Schizosaccharomyces pombe: one gene and its partners. The gene in region 2 interacts genetically with the main gene of each other region. Each region holds a gene or a part of one and is shown on either strand. Other genes may lie near its edges.

Region 1 (6,498 bases), on a different chromosome or scaffold from region 2:
TACTCTTACGGTGCAAACTCACAATACCCCATTATTGCTGCTACGCCGCTGAACTCTCAGACACAGGCTTCGTGGGTTGCTCAACCGGAGAACCAAGCATACGCAAATTTGATTCCATCACCCCCAACGACTTCACAAATCCTACCAACAGAACTTACTGAAGAGGAAAAGCAATTACGCTCCAAGGTATTATTCTATCTAAAACAAGACAGCTTCATCCAATTATGTCAAAGTTTGGAACGGGTATGGAACAAGATGTAGGAAGACAGACCAATTCAACTTAATCCCAAATTTAAAAAAGTAGTAAAAATGGAACGAAATCAGGATCGGAATGGTTATTTCGACAAAATTGATGTGTGACCACAATTTGGCAACCAAATGAGAAACTTCATTAAGTTCACATTCTTCGAGTACCGTGATAAAACATTTGTTGCAAATTTTGACATTATTTAACGAAAAGTTGGTCGAGATCTCAACTGCATATGATCGTTGCTGAGGATTAGCAAACAGAAACCGCCAACACAACAATGTTGAAATAAATTTCTCTACTTGTTGCATGACTCTTTTCCCTTAGGCTTGTCCATGCAGAGCATTAAAATCAAATTGAGAAGATCCCGTTCCGATCCTTGGGGTGTAAGCCTCCACCACGACACATAATCGGTATCAAAAGACAACTCTGAAAACTTTTTGATGGGGGAATTGCCGCAAGTACAGCATGAATACTAGTGTTAATAATGGGTCAGGTTACAACGGTTAAAATTGAGTTGGTGGTTGGTTTTGATAATTGACTTAACAATCCACGAGAGGAGTTCATGACATTAAGTACGAAAATGGTCAAATAGTTAGTTTAACTTCAAAAATAGACGAACCAAGTGGAGAAAGTAAATGTTCCGAGCACCAAAAAAAAAACATGATATTTTTTAAAGGGATGAAACAGCTAGAACGTTATGAGTGTAAAAAGGATTTTTTTTTTTTTTTTGGGTACTTCCGAGAGAGACAACAGTCTACAAAGCTTCACAATGATTTCAATGTCCGTGAAGTAAACCTTAAAATGTCGAATCGACTTTGAAGGGTTGCATGCGAATTATCAAATAATGTTTAAAAGTGTTGTCAATGGAAAATGAATCCCGTTTCCCATTTCACTTAATCTAGCTTATCTGCCTAATCGGCACTTAAGGTAGATGGAAACCAGAGAATATTCTTTTTTCCTCAAAACAAAAACGCCCCCGCTAGTAAACCTAAAGACAATACCGACTAACGATATTGTGATTTTCACTTGGTGGAATTGGCGGAAATGTTTTCAAAGATATGAAGGCATAACCGGATCAAACGGTTTCGACAATGCTAATAGAATTCTCTTCACGTGGACGAACCGGTTTCCAAGGAGAATAAAGACATAATAATAAAATTTAACACTCCTTGTTTTATTTCGACAATATTTATTGGTCTGGTCCGAATTGTTCATTTTGGTAACTACAACATTACTCCCTATTTTTAAGCACGTTTTCATTACCCCTAATTGAAACTTGATTCTATCAACTTTCAATTTACCGGGGCTCGTTTTATTATTCTATTCTCACCATCATTCGATTTTCGCTTCATTTCTGTTGAGGGACTGCTTCCTAGATTGGTGTTTAACGCTTATCGCAACGCATGGAGTTGCATTTCATCCATTTTCTTTTGAAAATAAAGTGTGACCTCTTCTTGTGCCTAATATTGACTTGACTTTAAACACTGTAAAAATAAACGCTGTTTTTTAAAACCATCAATAACTTTAAATCATCGGTTCCTTTTTTTCTTTTATAACGAGGACTTTCTCATTAACGCACTCTGAAATGATTCTTTTCACCCTGATTTTTTTTATGCGATTGTATTTGCTCCTCACGATATACTATACTAATCACTATCGTACTTAAAAAATAGGCCGATCGTCCGAACCTCGTTTGTCTGTGCAAAAACAACTCTCGTCATTCTTACACAAAAATTTCGTTTACAGCGATACTACAAATTTTTTTCATAAGTTATAATGGTTGGTGGTAGCACATCTAGGAGTGTGAAAGCATCGCCGATATTGTGTTAGTGCGACAAGGCTCATCAAGGGATTAGGGAAATTTTTTCTTCAATAGTCTTGCTAGAAAATTACTCGGAATTTGAATCGTTGTCGATATTTTTTTTTCTGAAATTACAATTGTTCATTGTCTCTGCGTAGGTGCAAATTTCTGATTTGCTCTACAGCTTGTGATCTTAAATCTACTTAGTCAATCGACTCTGTACTATTGACGCCTGGGCCCCCTCACATAATTCAATTGCGATCTTTTTTTTTATTCTTCTTCTGTGGACTTAAGGTGCGGAGACTTTGGTTTATTTGTCTCCTCTTGTGTTTCTGTCAAGCCCGTGTGCTTGCATATTTTTTCAGAAAAATCCCGCATTGGTACTTAACTACTGTACTTGCTATAACACCTTATCCATTAGTCGTTGAGGTATATTTGTGCATATTCACTACACACTCATACACAACAGCAAAGGCGGCAACTCTCCGCCATCATTACTTATAATCAAGCCAACTCCATCAGCCAACCCAAACCACGGCGCCTTCAATTGATTTGTCTTTTCCTTAATTATCGGTAAATTTCACCGATTTGATTTAGTACCGCTTTATTCACTGTACGGCGTTAATTGCAAGCCATACCGCCTCCGATTTCCCTATTCTTCAATATCCTTAAGAAGGTTCGCCACGCTATTAAGAGCCTTGCAAAACGTGCATAAGTGGCTTTGAGCTCTAAGTGACTTCACTAGTGCTTTCTTTATAAGCACAATACATCGTTGGTTGTTCACGTCAATTGCGCTTTTCTTCTTGCCAAGAGTGTCGAGACGGGACTGCGCTTTATTAATAATCGTCGGCACCGTTTTGCGTCCGGCTTTCCTGGTTGCATTCGTTTATCACTTTTGAGCTGCTTCGTCGGCCACGATTAAAGGAAAAAGCAGTAGATTTACTATTTCAACTTTTACCTTTAACAGTTTAATCGTGTGTCTACAACTTTCGAAAGAATAGTTGAGTTAATTGAAAAGTAAAGACGAGAAGCTTGTTTTTGGAAAAAAGAAAACAGAAACAAAAATAAAAGTACGGGAATTCAAATTCATATTCGAAACAAACTCGTTTAGTTTAGAGAGCTCCTTCTATATTGCCAGTTTGCTAAGTTTTTTACATCAACTTGAAGAGACTGTTTATATTCGCGAACGAAGCAATTTATAGAAAATCGAGGGTCAGATATGCAATCTTGGGTAATTGGATATACGAGATATACTATTTTTTGCACTTCTTAAGGGTAATAGGACTGATTACCCAAGTGGCTGAAAATTCTGTTTTGCTTTCTTGTTTGTCTATTTGAACATTTCTGAAGTCATAGATTTGTCTTTGGAGTATTCCTTTTTTTTTTGTCTTTTTTTTTGTTTTTCGTTCTGATATTGCTTTTCTTGTTTTTTACTTTCTCACCTCCTCTCCTCTCTTTTTTTTTCCTGTCTTCTTGAAGAGAAGTTTAAACTTTGTAATAAGGAACAAGGTTGCTCATGCTTCATTTAGATTATACGTTTAATGTTTCCGATGCCACGAGTACGAGTTCCATCATCATTGTCTCTCGCAGAGAGTTAGCTAACCTGAGAATCATGGTCATTATAGCTTCAGCCATATCTATCGTTTTCAGCTTAATTGCTATCTTCTGGCGATGGTCTCGTCGGCGAACAATACGTGAACAATTTCATATCGCTCTTTTTTCTGTATTGTTTATTCGTTCCATTGTGCAAATGATTCATCCATGTCTAGCATTAAGCGATCCTTTTTTTTGGGCTCCAAAACATCGATGCTTTACAATTGGATTTTTTCTTTTGGTACTTGTTCGGATGACTGATTATTGGATTTTTATCAACATATTGCATAATGCTCTTTTGGTGCTTTTCCCCCATGTTGATACTGAACGAAGGGGTCTATATCGTTTTCGGCATACTGTGTTTACACTGTCATTTGTAATTCCTTTAACTATTGGCGGACTTGCTTTTACCAATAAAAGAAATACATTTGTCAATTTACAAACCCGATGCTACCTTCCCTATACCCCTGTACGATTCATGTTTGGTTTGAATTGGTCATTTGATTATGCGCTAAGTATTGCAATTATTGCTTTACAAACTTGCATGTTCATCTCGATCAGAAGGAAAATCAAACGTTTCAAGAAATACTCACATCAACAAACAAATGTGTTTGATACTTTAAATGTCATTGATTCGTATCCTACCGCTCCGGATCAAGTAGCTCTTCCACCATTTCCCGACACCAACAGTACTTTAACATATACTCCATCTAATTCTCAATCCATTTACTCCTCGCAGTCTCAACCTTCTCCCTATTCGAGACCGTTACTATCCTCTGTGCATCCTAATTTGCCTCCTGGTTCGCAGTCTACTCCTGCTAATCTAAATCAATCAGGAATACATTTCGAACAGGATTTTAGGGATAGTCCAAATCGCACAAATGGCCTTGAAGATCACACGAGTTTTAAACTCAGTAGTCCATTGACTAGTGACGAAGATGGTGCTTCTAGTGTTTTGGCTGCATATGGAAATGATATGCAAGATGATCCCCTCCTTAAACAACGGAAACGCATTTTAAGTCAGTCTAAGTTTTTGTTTGCTTATCCTGCAATTTTTATCTTTATGTGGATTCTCCCTCAAATACAGATTATCGTTATACTTGCCCAACCGTTGCACTGCTCTGGTTCATGCAAACGATTCGCATTTGTTGCAGTCTTTGCAGACAACTTCGTTGCCATCTTTATTGCCTTGTCAGATTTTATTTGGATTTGTTATCGTGGCTACACGTATTTGAAGGAAAGAGATTCGAGTAAAAGTTATTGGGATCAAATAAAGGAGTTGACTTTAAAATGGTGGCGGGGTAAATTTGGTGAGGAAAAATAGAAGGATTTGTTCTTTTTATTTTTGTTTATGGTGAAGTCTCACAAGCTCCTCTTCTTGTATTATAATTTCTTTTTATGACGATTTTATTATCACTTTACTTCTTAAAATTTTCTCATAGCCTTTGCATTCATATGTCTTCCTTTTTTGTTAAAGCCATCCAGTGAATGACAATGGAATGTGAATGGAAACAACTGTGGTAAACCAACTAATATTTTAATATCTCCCATTTTTGCATCACCTCTAATATATGTCATACTTTAATTTTCGCTTCCCAGAATTTATTTCGAAGTATTAAATTTTGGCACTACTTAACTTGGCAAAAGGCTCGGATTGGAAGATGGTTTAAAGCTTGGCTGCTTCAAATTGATAAGGCCGCTCACAATTATCGATGTATATATATGTACTGTGTCTATGACAGTTTTCTATTCATCTCGGGGAATTCATTTTTGGAACGCTTAGTCGCCTAAACAATTCTTCCTTATATAGAATGTTTATGTTCAGCTTTACCAACTATCATTCACTCGTTTTCATTTTTCAGATGCTCTTACATTTTACTGCTTGCATTAAGCATCTGTCTTCAAAACTATATTCAAAATTTATGTCCCCAATACTATATTTCCTCAATACATAAAATGGATGGATTGTGCATAGCAATACGTTTATGTTCTTATTTTGTATATGTCGATGTGCGAATAGTCATTCACCATTAGCTATTCTTTTGTTGTGGATAAATCGCTTTTCTTCCTATACGATTTGTAAAATTGCGTCGGACATTTGTTCCATGCCTTCTTGTTACATATGAATGTGTTAATGTTTACAAATTTAATAATGTATTTTTTAGTTTTTCTTTACATTTGGTAAAGCAGAATGGTAGCACAGTATCTGATTGCTTTAAGCGTTTTAAGTCAATTGAGCATCCCGTGATTAGTAGGTTTTTGTATTGAAAACTATACGGTTATAGAGAAAAAAAGTAGATGTAAGATGGTTTTCTAAATAAAACAGTTAATTTTATTACATTGTAGTATATAAGCACGCTTGCTTGATTTTATTCTTTTCGGTACACCACCGCGAAACGCGACTCGTAACTTGTACTAAACACACCACTGAAAAGTAGACTACTCGTGGAATCAGCTGTAACTTTATATTCAATTATTTAAAAATCACTCTCTAAAAGATCGCAGATATATTTTTAAGTGGTTGATTTGCTTTTTCATCGCTCTTTAATTCACCCTAACAAACTTTCATAATTTGAGATAATACGTGCTCATGGCTTATGATGCTTTTGGCAAGCCGGGCTATGGTCCCGACTTCAATAGCGCTTTTTCTCCAGGAATGGGAGGAGGCGCTGGATTTAATGAATATGATCAATCGAGCCAGCCCAGCGTCGATAGAGTAAGTGGGATAAAATACTAAAACTATTGTTTGAATAACCGCAAGGTGATACTTTTTGGTTGATAGTTTTGTACTAGCACTGACCTTATTCATAAAAATATCTAATACTAATTTTTCCAATGTTTAGCAACAAGGAGC
Region 2 (5,036 bases):
TTTAATCAATAATTTTTTGGAAGTAACTGATTGTATACAAAATGATGAACTTCTAAAATATACCGGTTTATTTGTCGGGCGTAAATCTATTGTTTGTACACTGACTTTGGATGATGCATATCATTAATGTAATTGTAGCTGATATCTCTTGACTTTTGTTTTGGAAATTAAACTATTTTGTATTGATAAATTAACGTAGAAAAGCACCACGATAACCTGAACCTCGCCTCAGCAGCTGTTTGTTTAACCTATGCGGAAGACCCCCACATGGTCCTTATTATCGGTTTTATGCCTAACACTAGCAGCTTAGCAGTGGTTATTAAAATGAAAGCCCCCACAAAGTACTAAGATGGGTTTGCTAGTACGGCTAATCAAGGTTGCGTAGCAACGTTTGTCAGAGGAACGAAAAGTGGTACTTTGAATGTCATTAATTTAACCGATGATTTTCTTATTTTGTTTGTAATTTCTGATGGTCTTTTACGATATTTAATTTGAAATACTGTGCTATGAAAAAAAATAATAATAAACAATAGCAGTGAACTATGACAAACTAGCTCTTATTATATAAATTACTATACAAAGTTATCTTTTTACATGAAATTTTATTTCTCGTTTTTTTTAATCATTTTCCTTTTAAATCTTTTTTTTGGGGAGGGAATTAACAGTTTAAAAAAATTTTTAACAAGGGTTATTTTTTTGGCTCCATTTTAATTAATTGTACTCTGTAAATAAAAGATTTAATAAACTCAAGGAATATAATTGACCACAGTAATGAGTATAGAGAGACTTAAATAAAAAAAAATTAAAATTAAAATTAAATCAGCCGAAATACAAAAATCCCGAGTATTTTGCATCAAACGCATATCAGAAACCATGAGAAGCAAATAACAATTAGAAATTGTGCCCAAATTTGCTAATGTATGTCAGTAAGTTACAATTTTAATTGACCAGTGGACATCCTACTAAAGCTCATTCATTCAAACACTACAATTGATTTATTAAAGAAAAAGAAACTTTTCTGGTAAATTTAGTATGACCTTTGGTTAAGGCATCAGCCAACGCATTAAAAATTATTTGATAAATGTTTATAAAAAAAGAGTGTAGCATTTTTCGGTACTATCTAGGTATTCCTCGAAACTAAACAGTCGAAAATCTCATAGCTTGAGCTCTCCGAAATTACGTTGTAATGTGCTTTAATTTCTTTTGTATATGTAGGCTAAAATAAATATACATGAAGTTTCTACTAAGCCATTCGGAGAACTCTGTTTCGATACTCCTTCGTTGGACAAACCTTTGAAAATCACAAGACATTTCTGAGTCAACAGCGTATTAATTGCTCGATAAATTTCTTTTTCTGCTTTTAGAATAAGTGCATAATAATAAAATACACTGCAAAGGAATTTTTCAAATGTTTAGGGTTATACATCCCCCTTACCTGAATCCCTTAAGAAATAGATAAATGGAAGTGCGGCGCCCCTCTGATATTATAACCATTTAAAATTATACATCTATATAATCATAGTAAAATACGAATTAGTGTTCGAAAAATACTGGATTTTCTATCCGTTCGCTAAGATATCGTACTCCCGGATGTTACCACACTTTTCGATTAAGGGAATTGCGAAGGTTACATATGCGAAACACCTGCTGGTCGAACCAACTTTAAACACCACACCCTATTATTAGTAACACCAGACGAGGAATCCGATTCCATTAAAAGAGTATTAAAAGATTCTTGATTGATCATTGCTTTTGCTGAAAATGACCGAAATTTTCGGTAAATTGCATCGATCATCAAATTCTGAGAATACAAATCAAGCATCGCCATCCACAATACAATCGCATTCAACGCAACCGGTTCTTTCCAATGACCATTCTACGAAAGTAAACGATTACGAAGGGAAAGAGGGTGCTTCGTCTAATGGCTATGATCCCGTTTTCATGTCGGATCGGATGAAGATGCGTTACAATGAGATTACAGCTCAGCTTCACAAAGAACAGGTATGTTATAATTGATTTTTTGCTTGAAAGACAATCTTCCCCATAGCTTTCTTTATTGTGTTTTTCAAAAATCACTGTCTCCATAAATTGTTGTTCACTTGGCTAACCTATCATAGTCCTTAAAGGAAGATAAAGAATCTGGTTCTAATAGTTCCGAAAGCAATGGAATTACACCAATGGGTACATATTCAGAAAAACCCAAACTACTACAGAGTCGTACACCTCCATCTTCGTGTTACATTAGGCATGATACCGTTGTGCCAAAAGATAAAAATGGTCAGCATGCTTTTGGACGGCTTTATGTTCGATTACATCAAGGTAGAGATTTGAACGTCAAAAGTGTTAATGCACAACCTTATGCAGTAATCACCTTTGAAAAAACGCAGGTTATGGTACCTCCTCCTTTTAAAGACATTGACGGTGGGATACCCATTTCCATTCCTTCTAAAAACCGTCCTCTTGCTGGATCTGCTTCCGGTTCTTCTTCTGGACTACATTCTGAGCTAATGTTGGCTGATGTGCGTTGTCCTCATTGGGATTTTGAAACTGTATTTGATGTGACAAAAATGAAAAGTCAAATGGTTGTATCTGTATATGACAAATATGAAGACGATAAATTTTTGGGCTCCGTTAAAATTACACCAATTTTCCTACATGAATATGTGCAGGAAGCATGGTATAAGCTTGAGCCTCTTGACTTAACTAAGTCTCTGGAGGGTGAAATAAAAGTGGAAACAATTTACGAGCACATTGAACATGTTCGTTATGGGCCAGAAGATTTTACGGCCCTTCGTTTAATCGGAAAAGGTAAAGCTGCTTTAAGCTAAAAAATTTACGGTATACTAACTTTATTTAGGCACTTTTGGGCAAGTTTATTTGGTCCGTAAAAACGATACCAATCGGATTTATGCTATGAAAAAGATATCCAAAAAATTAATTGTTCGTAAAAAAGAGGTTACACATACCTTGGGCGAAAGGAATATACTTGTCAGGACTTCATTAGACGAATCTCCGTTTATTGTTGGTTTAAAGTTTTCCTTTCAGACCGCTTCAGATCTTTATTTGATAACTGATTATATGAGTGGAGGCGAACTTTTCTGGCATCTTCAACATGAAGGTCGCTTTCCTGAGCAAAGAGCTAAATTTTATATAGCCGAACTTGTTTTGGCTCTTGAACATTTGCATAAACATGATATTATTTACCGAGATTTAAAGCCTGAAAACATACTATTAGATGCAGATGGTCATATTGCTCTTTGCGATTTTGGTTTGTCTAAGGCAAACCTTTCAGCTAACGCAACTACTAATACCTTTTGTGGAACCACCGAATATTTGGCACCTGAAGTTTTACTTGAGGACAAGGGGTATACTAAACAGGTCGATTTCTGGTCTTTAGGAGTCCTTGTCTTTGAGATGTGCTGCGGATGGAGCCCCTTTTATGCTCCAGACGTCCAACAAATGTATCGTAATATTGCCTTTGGAAAGGTCCGTTTTCCAAAAGGAGTTCTTTCATCAGAGGGTCGAAGCTTTGTTCGAGGCCTTTTAAATCGCAATCCAAATCATCGTTTAGGAGCAGTTGCTGACACTACTGAATTAAAAGAGCATCCTTTTTTTGCAGACATAAATTGGGACCTACTTAGCAAGAAGAAGGTTCAGCCGCCTTTTAAACCGAATGTTCAAAATGATCTGGATGTTTCCAATTTTGATAAAGAGTTTACCAATACTAATGTGAAAAATATCAATATAGTTTCCAATGTTGATCCCGCTAATGCCTCGACACCTCTATCCAACACGATTCAGGACAGATTTCGTGGTTTCACTTTGTAAGTTTATTTTTAAATATTTGACCATCAACTAACCTTAAACTTTATAGTGTCAATAAGTCCATTGATGAACAGTTTCAGAACCTGGGACTACAAGAAAACGAAGAGACAGATAATTTACATGCGTGTCGCACAACAACCCATTCATCGGTTAATTCAATAAATTCACATGGGAATCCACGTACGGTGGATGCTAACGATCCCGTCGCAGATACTGTGTTCGGCGAGACGTTCGAAGCTTGATAAGCTTGCTCCAATCAAAAAATTTGTCTCCTATTATCCACAATAGAAGATAACTTATTATGTATTATGTTCCCCTTTCGTTATAGTTATTTTGTCTCTCAAAGGCTTCGCTCCGTGTTTTCTAGTTTACCCAGGAATTAAAGCAAACTGTGGGTGTTTTGCTTTTGTTTCCTTCTATCCTTTATTATTTGTTACGTTCTATTTTGTAGTCATCTTCATATTTTATTATGTGAACATTTAATAGATTAAGTTTTACATTTTTATCCCAACTCAAATACTTGTTGCTTTCTTTTAATTATGATTGAAGGTGCATTAATTATGCAAAATGTGAAATACATCGTTATAAAAAAGAATGTAGCATTTAATAAGCAATCTTCACAATCAAGTAAATATTATGTTCCATTTCGTTCATGATACTAGTTAGACGCTAGCACCATATTTTTTCTCATAAATTTTGTCTCAATAGGAACGGATAAACATCTATCCTGTTGTTTGCATGAAGTAAAACCCCTTCAAATCTTATTGCAAATTCGTTTTTCTACCATTGCCAATACTATTCGAATAGAGGACTTTTGCCAAATAACACAACTATAAGTTTATCATGTTATTTTACATATTAAGAGTTGTATCATTTTACGTTAAATTACTTAAGGTGTCTGTACGATCTTTTTTGACGCGATTTTTCGAACTTGAAATAATAGGTCTACCTTTTACCACCATCTTTCATTATGGCTGGTAAGATAAAAATTTGTATGATTTATTGCTAATACTCTGCAGACTATAATGCTTTGGCGACCCAGTTCACTCAATTTTACTACCAAACTTTCGATTCCGATCGTTCTCAACTTTCTTCACTATACGTATGCGACTTCTAATTATGAAATTAATCCTACGTGTATTTATCTGGGCAGCTAACTTATATATATTAGAGAGAAGAGTCGATGCTGAGTTTTGAGGGAGCCCAACTCC
Region 3 (4,928 bases), 1.5 Mb from region 2:
TTGTTTCATCATTGCTCTCCTACATCAAAGTAATGACAAATCAATTGGGCACCCTAACTATGTATATGCATATACCAGCAGAACGACATAAGTGTGCTGTATCCTCATGAACCACTATTCGGTTCTAAACCTCAAAGATGGAAAAACTTACACAGACGATGAAATAAAAGAAGCTTATAGAAAAGCGTTACTACTGTTTCACCCGGATAAGTGTAAAGAAAAGCCCTCTGTGGTGTATACTATTGATCAAGTGAAAGAAGCATATCAAGTCCTTTCAAGTGAAAAAGATCGTCAGCAATATCAAATAAAACAAGAAGAGGGTAATTTTGTTTTGAAGGTTTTTTTATTAATCTAAACAGAAAGCTCGCATTACTACTCTATCGTTGATCTAAGTGAATTTGAAGAACTCGACAACGGCTCCTATTATTATCCTTGCCGATGCGGCGATTTAGGAGGATATGTTGTCACGGAAGACGACCTGGAAAATAACAGAAGTGTCGTCCCATGCATGGGTTGCTCTCTAACTATACAAGTAGATTATGAAATCGCGGAATCCGACTCATGATATCTTTTAAAGGGAGGCCAAGTATTTGTTGAGAGAAGGCAAGGCTAGTCTCTCTTGCTAAGGATTGTATAATAATATAGACTAATTGCAGCTGTAAATAATTTGGAAGTTTCAAAAGAGTCCTTAAATGAACGGTTAATTACCTTTGAAAATTTATGGCGGAGAATCACTTTTGATTTATTTATATACAAAGAATTTATTGCTGAGATATTATTAATAGCCTTTTTACTAAAATTTGAGTACTGTAAAAACTGCTGGAATGTTTCAATAATAATTTGTATTCGATAGGTGACATGGCTGTAGCGAAATTTATGCAAGCGACGCACATACCGAAGTAGTATCGGATGCGTTTCGTCTTGTCAAGTAAGTTTTATGCAAATGCGAAGGATTGGGTGTTTAACGATGTAAACAAATACAGTACAAGTTTATGAAATGGTATTTGCTAAATTCTGTTCGATTTTGAGAAATATTACATATTCTGTTCTTTATTATATATTCTATAAATTTATGTAACAAATGTCTACGGCCATACCTAGGCGAAAACACCAGTTCCCGTCCGATCACTGCAGTTAAGCGTCTGAGGGCCTCGTTAGTACTATGGTTGGAGACAACATGGGAATCCGGGGTGCTGTAGGCCTCTTTTTCGGAACATTATTTTTAATATGTATTCTAATTGCGTGCAAAAGAAATTTGAAGAAATATCACTCACTTGGAATTTATGAAGTTCCCATCATCTAGATAAGATACAGTTAAACACTTTAAATGATCGATCTCGTTTAGCTAACCTAAAAACGGTCGGTTATGAACAGTGAACGTTAGCGAGATGCCGATTTTATCACCCTTCAACGATGCTTAACGAAAAAACCTTTCGCTACAGTAAAACCTTATGAGCTTATCACAGTGTAAGGATGTTTCCGAATATTGGTTGTTCGTAATTTTACGCAATACACTATCTTCCCTCTAGCATCTTCTAGATACACTTTAGTGAGAAATTTTTTTTCTCACCCCAACCTTCTATCGCAATCCAAATACCACACTTCGTTGCATCCGCACTATTCTTTGAGTTCCATGTCCTTCCACCAAAAACCAGGGTTAGGGTTTTGGAATGTTCGAGTTGCTTTGTTTACAGAATATAAACCACCATACACGTACCCTCCGCCATCTAGCTCTCAAGTTATTTATAACCCATTTCCCACTAAGTTCCTTTGTTGAACGCTTAAAAGATTGTTCATACGTTTGAACATATTTAAAATCACGTTATAGCTGAGAAGAAAACCCCTTTTCAAGTAATAAAAGTATATTTAATTACTTATTTTACCCTTTATATTACGAACTGTACGACTTAACCGGTTTTATCTATAAATTCCTTCATTTTTCTTTGTTTTCGTTTTCAATTTGATTTCATTACAAAATGTCGAACACAGAAACTTTCAAGTTTGAGGCTGAAATCAGCCAGTTGATGTCTTTAATCATCAACACTGTTTATTCTAACAAGGAAATTTTCCTTCGTGAGCTTATTTCCAACGCTTCCGATGCCTTGGACAAAATTCGTTATCAAAGCCTTTCCGATCCTCATGCCTTAGACGCTGAGAAGGATCTTTTCATTCGCATTACTCCTGACAAGGAGAACAAAATCCTTAGCATTCGCGATACCGGTATTGGTATGACCAAGAATGACCTTATCAACAACCTTGGTGTTATCGCCAAGTCTGGTACTAAGCAGTTTATGGAAGCTGCTGCTTCTGGTGCTGATATCTCCATGATTGGTCAATTCGGTGTTGGTTTCTACTCTGCATACTTGGTTGCCGACAAGGTCCAAGTCGTAAGTAAGCATAATGACGATGAGCAATACATCTGGGAATCCTCTGCTGGTGGTAGCTTCACCGTCACTTTGGACACCGATGGACCTCGCTTGTTACGTGGTACCGAGATTCGTCTCTTCATGAAAGAAGACCAACTTCAATACCTCGAGGAAAAGACTATCAAAGATACCGTCAAGAAACATAGTGAGTTCATCTCTTACCCCATTCAATTAGTTGTTACCCGTGAGGTTGAGAAGGAGGTCCCTGAAGAAGAAGAGACCGAAGAAGTTAAGAATGAAGAAGACGATAAGGCTCCTAAGATTGAGGAGGTTGATGATGAATCTGAGAAGAAGGAGAAGAAGACCAAGAAGGTCAAGGAGACCACCACTGAGACTGAGGAGTTGAACAAGACCAAGCCCATTTGGACTCGCAACCCCAGTGAAGTTACCAAGGAAGAGTATGCCTCTTTCTACAAGTCTTTGACTAACGACTGGGAAGACCATTTGGCCGTCAAGCACTTCAGCGTTGAAGGTCAATTGGAATTCCGTGCCATTCTTTTCGTCCCCCGCCGCGCTCCTATGGACCTTTTTGAGGCCAAGCGTAAGAAGAACAACATCAAGCTCTATGTTCGCCGTGTTTTCATTACCGACGACTGTGAAGAGTTGATTCCTGAATGGTTGGGTTTCATTAAGGGTGTTGTTGATTCTGAGGACTTGCCCTTGAACTTGTCTCGTGAGATGCTTCAACAAAACAAGATCATGAAGGTTATTCGTAAGAACCTTGTCCGTCGTTGTCTTGATATGTTCAACGAGATTGCCGAGGACAAGGAGAACTTCAAGACTTTCTACGATGCTTTCAGCAAGAATTTGAAGCTTGGTATCCATGAGGATGCTGCTAACCGCCCTGCTTTAGCCAAGCTTTTGCGTTACAACTCCCTTAACTCCCCTGATGATCTTATCAGTCTTGAGGACTACATCACTAAGATGCCCGAACATCAAAAGAACATTTATTTCATCACTGGTGAATCTAAGCAAGCCGTTGAGAACTCTCCCTTCTTGGAAATCTTCCGTGCCAAGAAGTTTGATGTTCTCTTCATGGTTGACCCCATTGATGAGTACGCTGTCACTCAACTCAAGGAATTCGAGGGCAAGAAATTGGTTAACATTACTAAGGATGGTCTTGAGTTGGAAGAGACTGACGAGGAGAAGGCTGCTCGCGAGAAGCTCGAAAAAGAGTATGAGGAGTTTGCTAAGCAACTTAAGACCATTTTGGGTGACAAGGTTGAAAAGGTTGTTGTTTCTAACAAGATTGTTGGTTCTCCTTGCTTGTTAACTACCGGTCAATATGGTTGGTCTGCTAACATGGAACGTATCATGAAGGCTCAAGCCCTTCGTGATACTTCTATGAGTGCCTATATGTCTAGCCGCAAGACTTTTGAGATTAACCCCAAGTCTCCCATCATTGCTGAGCTCAAGAAGAAGGTTGAGGAGAATGGTGCCGAAGACCGCTCTGTGAAGGATCTTGCTACTATTTTGTATGAGACCGCCTTGTTGTCCTCTGGTTTCACTCTTGATGACCCTAGTGCTTATGCTCAACGTATCAACCGTCTTATTTCTCTTGGTCTTAGCATTGACGAAGAGGAGGAGGCTCCTATTGAGGAAATTTCTACCGAATCCGTCGCTGCTGAAAACAATGCTGAGAGCAAGATGGAGGAAGTCGATTAAATCAAATGCATCTAATGTGTCTTTCCAAAATTTATGCATATAATGTTTTTCTTGGATTAAAGCAAGTTATCCTATACATTGTTAACGATTCTAGTGTCTGTTGTCATTCAAAAATTTCTTTCTACACGATTTTTCTTAATACACACTAGATTACAGGTTGTTTGGAAGTTGTTATAATATGGAATGTTGATTAGTAATATTAAAGTTTATGGATACTTATTAGTACATCAAATTTTGTTTTCGAATAATGTAGTTTATACTACTAACAAGTACAAGTTGGTGCTTAAAAGTTATTTTTTTCTAGTCATGTGAGAGCTGTTTTACAAGGTAGGATAATTTTGATGAGGAACATAGGTATGCTGGGCTAATATAGATTTATTCATACATTAATTGAACCCTCGAATGAAAATATGGTTAATGACATTAAGCCTAAGCTCTAACTCACTAAACACTGCAAATAATAGTAAAGTCGCAGAGAGTAGCTAAGTATTGAGACACATAAAGTATAGGTCACAACGAACATAAATGTATCAAATGCTTTCATAAAAAGTTAAAAGAGAAGAGGAAAATTCGTCTAAGGGAAATGGCTCAGGTTAAAAAGATAAAGTATTAGAGGGAAGAATGTGAAACATATCTGGCTGCTCTTAACTCAATTGCTATCTTTTGACCCAGCAATAGCATCAACGAATTTCTCGTAATAGAATACACCATGACTGGTGTACGAGCGTAAAATAGACTCGACTTCTTGAGGATCCATTCTATCACCCATACTTGACAAAGCATCTCTCATAGTGGAAATTGGAATTTTGCCGGATTGAGTATCATCGAATGTAGAGA
Region 4 (6,498 bases), on a different chromosome or scaffold from region 2:
TCATCAAGAGATGAAAACGTCTATCAAAAAACGACGCTTTGGATGGGTGAATTAGAGCCTTGGGTTACTGAAGCATTTATCCAGCAAGTTTGGAATACTTTAGGAAAGGCAGTCAAAGTAAAGCTTATTCGTAACAGGTACACAGGCATGAATGCTGGCTATTGTTTTGTCGAATTCGCATCTCCTCATGAAGCTTCAAGCGCGATGAGTATGAACAACAAACCAATTCCTGGTACAAATCATTTGTTTAAACTTAATTGGGCCTCTGGAGGCGGATTACGTGAAAAGTCTATTTCAAAGGCCTCAGAATATTCCATATTTGTGGGAGACTTGTCACCCAATGTCAATGAGTTTGATGTGTATTCTCTCTTCGCATCTCGATATAACTCATGCAAGTCGGCCAAAATCATGACTGATCCTCAAACAAATGTGTCAAGAGGATATGGTTTTGTCCGTTTTACGGACGAAAATGATCAGAAATCTGCATTGGCAGAAATGCAGGGTCAAATTTGTGGTGATCGTCCTATTCGGGTGGGATTAGCCACTCCTAAAAGTAAGGCTCATGTTTTTAGTCCTGTGAACGTTGTACCTGTTAGTATGCCACCAGTTGGATTTTATAGTGCTGCACAGCCTGTTCCTCAGTTTGCTGACACAGCAAACTCAACCGTATTTGTTGGCGGTCTCTCAAAATTTGTTTCTGAAGAGGAGCTTAAGTATCTTTTTCAAAATTTTGGAGAAATTGTTTATGTCAAAATTCCACCTGGAAAAGGTTGTGGATTTGTGCAATTTGTCAACCGACAGTCTGCTGAAATTGCTATCAATCAGTTGCAGGGTTATCCTTTGGGCAATTCTCGTATCCGATTATCTTGGGGAAGGAATCAGAATCCAATTGCGGCTCCTGCCTTGAATTATCAGTCTCAGGTTTCACAAACTACTATTCCTGCTACCTCATTATTTCCGGCAATGAGTTTACCACCCCAGGCTCAGTTTAGTCCATATCCGGCTGTTGCACCTTCCCCCTTAGCCCTGCAAACGAGGGGTGCACCGATTGGCATGGAAATTTCGATTGGATCTCCTGCCCTCGTACCTGATCAAATGCATATTCCTGAAAACGGCAACTCTGATACCATGCCTGTTCCTAACACACAAGGAAAGCATTTATCAGCTGAAGAGTAATGTAAAAGTACTTGCGATTGAATTTTTTATAATGGCATGTCTCATACTTTTTATCATCATTCTTGGTTTTTATAAAGTATGAATAATTTTCCATCTATTCTAATAAGTTTGATGTTCATAATGAATCACGGAGAATTATTGTTTCGAGAAACGTGAGAGTTCTTGTAAACTCTATCTGTTATTTTGGACGTTAAATCAAGAGAGTCCCTTAGCATAATTGATTAATAAGCATTTTACATGTGTTCATGAATTCGAATTATCGAAGAAAAGCTTGAACTAAATTTTTGTTGGACATAGCTTCATTACGTTTCCTTTCTAAGGATTGACGGTTTTTATATTCATCTCTCCCTGTTTATGATATGAAATGCTACGTTTTTTTAGCCGAAATTTTCATTTGTCATGATTTTTATAGTCAAGAAAAAGGTTTTCATACGACGTATATAAAAGATTAAATTTAATAGTAATGATGGACTTCAGAATTATCGCACTGAGATTTTTAGGTCGCTGGAGAATGCAGTTTAGGCAAGGTATGTAAGTGCTTATTGAGATTTCCCATTGATAAACAACTTTTAAGTTGCTTCTGGTTTAATCATTCGTTCTTTTAGGTATGAGTTTAGTTAAATGATCAGCGCCATTTTCAAAACATTTCATTCAACCAAAAATCAACCGCCTCTAAATTCAATTTTATTTGAATGATACTCCCTATTTATCGAAAAATCCATTCAATTAAAATCTATTATTAACTTTTCATCCATTTAAATCTACTCCATTTTTAAAGCTCTTGTTTACAGAGTAACAACGCGACTTGCAACTTCTACTACGCCAGGGGGGCGACTGTCGCAATAAACAACTGACAGAAAACGCACTTATAGTATAGGCTCAAAATCTTTTTAAATCGTAGCCTTTCCCATTAATACGAATACATCATCAAATTCAGTTTTGCGATTAAGTATAAACGGGCTTAACTCGTGCGTTTATATACTTTGTCAACGCTGTGATTAGTATTCAACCTTTGACGTTACACTTTATTAACCTGGCTCGATACTCTTAAATAAGACTCTGGAAAGCGACAATTCTTATAATTAATTTTATTTTTTATTTTTTAACCTGTGAAAAAGTTTTAATCTCTAGACCTGGAACGATCATTAACATAATTGTGTACACATTATTGAAATCCAGCTTATAAATGAATTTTGATCTACTAAATAATTTACTCACCGATCCAAAGAAGCAGACAACATAAACCATCACCTATCGCTATTTTTACCTTCATCCATTAAATAACACCTTCATACATTCCGAACACCAGGTTTTTGCACTCTCTACTCAGCAAATCGGAAAGGCTTAAAATGGGATTCACTAGTGTTGAACCCCCAGATTTTTTTGATTGGACTGCCAGAGCTATATTTTTATTATCGACATTACGCAGTCGCAGAAATGCTAAGCAAATTGAGCGTGAAAATGCGCTTTTGGATCAAATCAAGGAGCTTTTAAGTATTGCCATTATTCAGTGTCATGAAAGAAATATTCCTTCGATAGATCTTCCCCCGTCTTTTTTCAATTATGTTTGTGAACAGCTACCCAGGCACCCTTTTGCTAAGATAGCTTCGAGCTACATAGATACGCATACTTTATTTTTTCAAATATCTATCAGCTCATTTTTATGCCGATTTTCAAACTGCTCAGAAGACGAGATCAGGCTTTTTAAGCAGCACCAGTCCCTTGATAGTTTTTTACTATCCTTGTTTGACCTCCTTTGTAGTCACCACTTTTCCGTTGAATTTACGTCCATATCACTAATTATCAAATCTTCGCAGTGGTTATTTTATACATTATCCGATTATGCTCATGAATCCTTAACAGGCGTTGAGGCTGATATTACAACGAAATTTCTTTCCACCCTAGCTGATACTTGGCCAGAATTCGAAGAGCAGTGTACTCTTAGCAAACATCTTTTTCTTTTAGGTGACTTTTCGCTAATCAGCTATGTAAAAGTTTTATGTGGTGTATTTAATATCCCTAACTACAATGCCTTCATTCTAAGTGTCGAGGATCTACTTCCGGAAAATATATCCTTTGCCGCCGTTGCTGATTTTCAGTTATCAAAGTATAGGGCAATTAACGACAATTCTGTATTAAGAAGTGACGATTTCTCATCAAAAGCTGTGTTCGACAAATACGTTGAAAGGGAGTGTTATTACTCAGAAAATGCTATTAGTAAAATTTTTCAAAACTATCCTGATTTGGCTGTCCTTTTTGAAGAACTACAATATGCCGAGGGAAACAATGATCTTCTATCTGCGATTTTGAATACCAATAAATATACTTTGAGACCTGATGATTGTGCTCCATACTTTTATCGTTTAATGGATTTGTGCTTACGTTATTGTTATAGCCAAAGTAATGAAATTGGTACCAACGTTTTATGGAGCATGACTACAAGTTTCATCAACATTTGGCGTATTCATCCTGGAACATGTTGTTGCGTGGTCTTAAGTATATATTGGCCTTATCTTGAGGATAAACTCCTAAAGTTTTCGGACCTTGGAGATATTTTTGAATACTTCTTTTCTTTAATTCATGATTGTGATTATGCGATTTGGTCAGTCCATGACGAACACCAATTTTCGGAGTTATTGGCGTTTTATCATAGAAGAGCTTTAAATGACTTAGTAGAAGAATTGGGGAGCTGTCCTCGTTCTAGTGATTCTTGCCGAGCTATCCTTGATATCCTTAATAATTACATCTTTTCATGTCCGCTTTTTCTGGTAACCCCTGAAGAACTAGAAGAGCAATACACCGACTTTTTTAAAAAACTGAAAGAAAAATATGGGGAGTTTTTCCAGAATCTACTGAAGAAAGAACTGACTGGGAAGCCTGAATCAGATCTCGAAGGGCTTCGATTAGTGGGTGTCCAATTGCAAGCCACTTACGAAAACTTGAAGTCGAATTTTAGTGCTAGAATATTTAACCAGCTTTCGGTTCACTCATTTTTTGCAGAAGCAACATGTCACTTGTTTCTTGAGAAATTACCTACCATTACCAAAACTTATGTATACTCAAATTGCAAAGAAATTCCAGATCATATCCTTGAAATGATCAATGCTCTATACCAGCAAACTCGCGCTTTAGTGGCTTGCACCGGATACCTATCGTCGGACTACCCGAAAATTTATGAAGCTTTTAGCGGTACCTTTGTATATAGAAATTTGTCGCTGATAATCGACAAGGGCTTGGCTAATGTGTTGCAAACAGTCCTAAGAGAGTCTTTCATTCCTAAGAGATCCAGATTTTATTCAGATTCAACTAAAATGATTCTTGCTCCTTTGCAGGACTGTTATGATTTTCTGCAGAAAATAGATTGGCCAAGTTCCAAAGATGCAAATCGTTTTTATTTGCATCTTGGAAAACTTAGTGAAAACTACATTCATTACTACGTTGACAGCATGTATGCATTGTTTATTTATAGTACCGATATACCATTGAAAGCAGAACCTTTAGTTCCTGATCTTCCGGTGAAGCAGCTTAAAGAAAAAGCTAGTCATTTTAAAAGACATTCTGGGGACCCAAATTTTTTGAAGCTGTATAGGGAATCATTCACCCTAATCAATACCGTCAGTTTAGTGAGTGGTTGGTTAAAAATGCTGCATCAAAGGATTGATTATAAAATATTGACAGAGAAGGTAATGCACTTTAAAGATATGGAAGTACCATCTGCGACTGTTATAATTTCCATTAAGATGGCCCATCTTTTGGTAACCCCAAAGGCCCCATATTCATTCTCTGTTTTGCTCCAAGATCCTGAGTCGGAATTTTGTGTACATACTCGAGATGTTTATGACGAGCTAGTTCCCAATTGGAAAGAAACGTATCAGATGGAGATTACAAACGTAAAGCGTTTTAAATTAATTATATATCAGAGGAATATACACACTGGATTGGAGACTGTATATGGTCATGCAACACTAGAAGTTGATCCCGACAAACTTAAGCAAGGCCACGGAAAAGATGTTTGGCTTGATATCACTAATAAGGGACAAATTTTGATTGGGTTGCGTGTGCTCTTGAAGAGGGAAACACCAAATTATTACTGCTTTGCCCAAATGGAATACCTTACCGTTACTGAAGTAAAAATGCTAAATGTACTGATGATTTCTCTAAGTAAATTTATTCGAAATTCCTTAAGAAATAGTGGGTTAATGGATTTCGTGCGTTATCTTGATGGAGACGAAAATGATAACGCAGAGGCTGAGACTAAAGAAAAGATGGACGAGTTGCAGGCCCGGTGTGAAAAAGAGCAGCAGTCATTGTTGGCAGAGCTAGATGATTTTTTTTATTGGATTTATGTAAACTTGCTCCCGAAACCTCTTTTTTACTTGCTTTCGCGGCTTTGGTTTGGCTTGTTGGAGACATTTCGAGATATTTTAGTGCCTCCAGTCACAGATTCTACCCTAAGGAGAATTCCGTTGAATAAGCGTGAACTCAAAATGGTCTATTCGTGGTTACAATTGTTTTACGATTTTTTTCGGAATTTTCAAGATATTGCGCCATTTGATTTTTTGAATACCGATGAGTACAAAAGTGTGATGGCTATTAAAGACTATTATTTTGTAAAGTCTAAGGATGTCAAAAGAGTGAGTAGTTAGTTAACTACGGTAATGATGGAGACTTCTATTAATGTTTATTAATTTACTGAACGATACTTTTAATTTAATGAGCACAGTTGCTAATTTATTTTATATATATACAAATATGTATGTCATACGTCTATCATAAAGTCGCGTGTATTAGTTGCTAGGCTGAAATTATTTATTAAGCAGCTAGCTTATAACACTGCATTGTACACAAGAATAATGCTGAAAGCTAAAAATTAAGTTATGCTTACGATGATTACGCATTTTCTACAAAAATGAAACACACCATACAACCATAACAACAGGTTACAACAAAAGTCATAAATACATTTCTATGTAAACAAAAACAGATTTTTTTTAACGTAAAGCATACACATAACCGCACAGCCTTTAGAACGTCCAAACCATAAAAGCAAGTTATAATCATACATAAACATAACAAATGCCTTTAAGTCCCTTAGATAAGACACAAACATTAACCCTTGACTCAATGTCAGAGGCAATAGGAGATTAAAGTCGAATAATTACCAAAGGAACGGGAAAGGATTCCAAAAATTGCCATGAAGTTCAGGTAATGTTGGAATGCGGACATTGTGTACTTCGTCAGATTGCATCATTATATAACACAAATGGGAATACCTATAATAGATATACGTGGGCCATATGTTTTAACTCATTAAAGTCGGTG

Evidence for each region.
Region 1: of sck1 (region 2) and git3, extra expression of one rescues a mutant of the other (dosage rescue), as found in Schizosaccharomyces pombe (2 studies listed by BioGRID, with this or other methods).
Region 3: of sck1 (region 2) and hsp90, extra expression of one rescues a mutant of the other (dosage rescue), as found in Schizosaccharomyces pombe (one study listed by BioGRID).
Region 4: of sck1 (region 2) and git1, extra expression of one rescues a mutant of the other (dosage rescue), as found in Schizosaccharomyces pombe (one study listed by BioGRID).

The regions. Positions count from the first base shown.
Region 1 is NC_003421.2:1,541,651-1,548,148, reverse strand, and holds git3 (G-protein-coupled receptor Git3), read left to right. Parts: upstream 1-2,053; 5' UTR 2,054-3,567; coding exon 3,568-4,968; 3' UTR 4,969-5,816; downstream 5,817-6,498. Other genes in the region: meiotic recombination protein Rec7, read left to right, coding at 1-261; single-stranded DNA-binding protein Ssb2, read left to right, coding at 6,235-6,360, 6,488-6,498. UniProt on the Schizosaccharomyces pombe protein: G protein-coupled receptor (GPCR) that senses glucose and signals via the heterotrimeric G protein alpha subunit gpa2 to activate adenylate cyclase and PKA signaling, and suppress sexual development and gluconeogenesis.
Region 2 is NC_003424.3:2,401,332-2,406,367, reverse strand, and holds sck1 (serine/threonine protein kinase S6K family Sck1), read left to right. Parts: upstream 1-1,664; 5' UTR 1,665-1,761; coding exon 1,762-2,001; exon of another isoform or gene 2,002-2,117; coding exon 2,118-2,808; intron 2,809-2,857; coding exon 2,858-3,824; exon of another isoform or gene 3,825-3,874; coding exon 3,875-4,067; 3' UTR 4,068-4,352; downstream 4,353-5,036. Other genes in the region: nuclear import protein Nxt2, read left to right, coding at 4,796-4,802, 4,845-4,927, 4,997-5,036. UniProt on the Schizosaccharomyces pombe protein: Protein kinase that is part of growth control pathway which is at least partially redundant with the cAMP pathway. Required for trehalase activation.
Region 3 is NC_003424.3:3,887,937-3,892,864, reverse strand, and holds hsp90 (Hsp90 chaperone), read left to right. Parts: upstream 1-1,725; 5' UTR 1,726-1,976; coding exon 1,977-4,091; 3' UTR 4,092-4,307; downstream 4,308-4,928. Other genes in the region: diphthamide biosynthesis protein Dph4, read left to right, coding at 107-320, 360-565; myosin II regulatory light chain Rlc1, read right to left, coding at 4,741-4,928. UniProt on the Schizosaccharomyces pombe protein: Molecular chaperone that promotes the maturation, structural maintenance and proper regulation of specific target proteins involved for instance in cell cycle control and signal transduction. Undergoes a functional cycle that is linked to its ATPase activity.
Region 4 is NC_003423.3:3,830,521-3,837,018, reverse strand, and holds git1 (C2 domain protein Git1), read left to right. Parts: upstream 1-2,028; 5' UTR 2,029-2,525; coding exon 2,526-5,822; 3' UTR 5,823-5,834; downstream 5,835-6,498. Other genes in the region: splicing factor Cxr1, read left to right, coding at 1-1,176.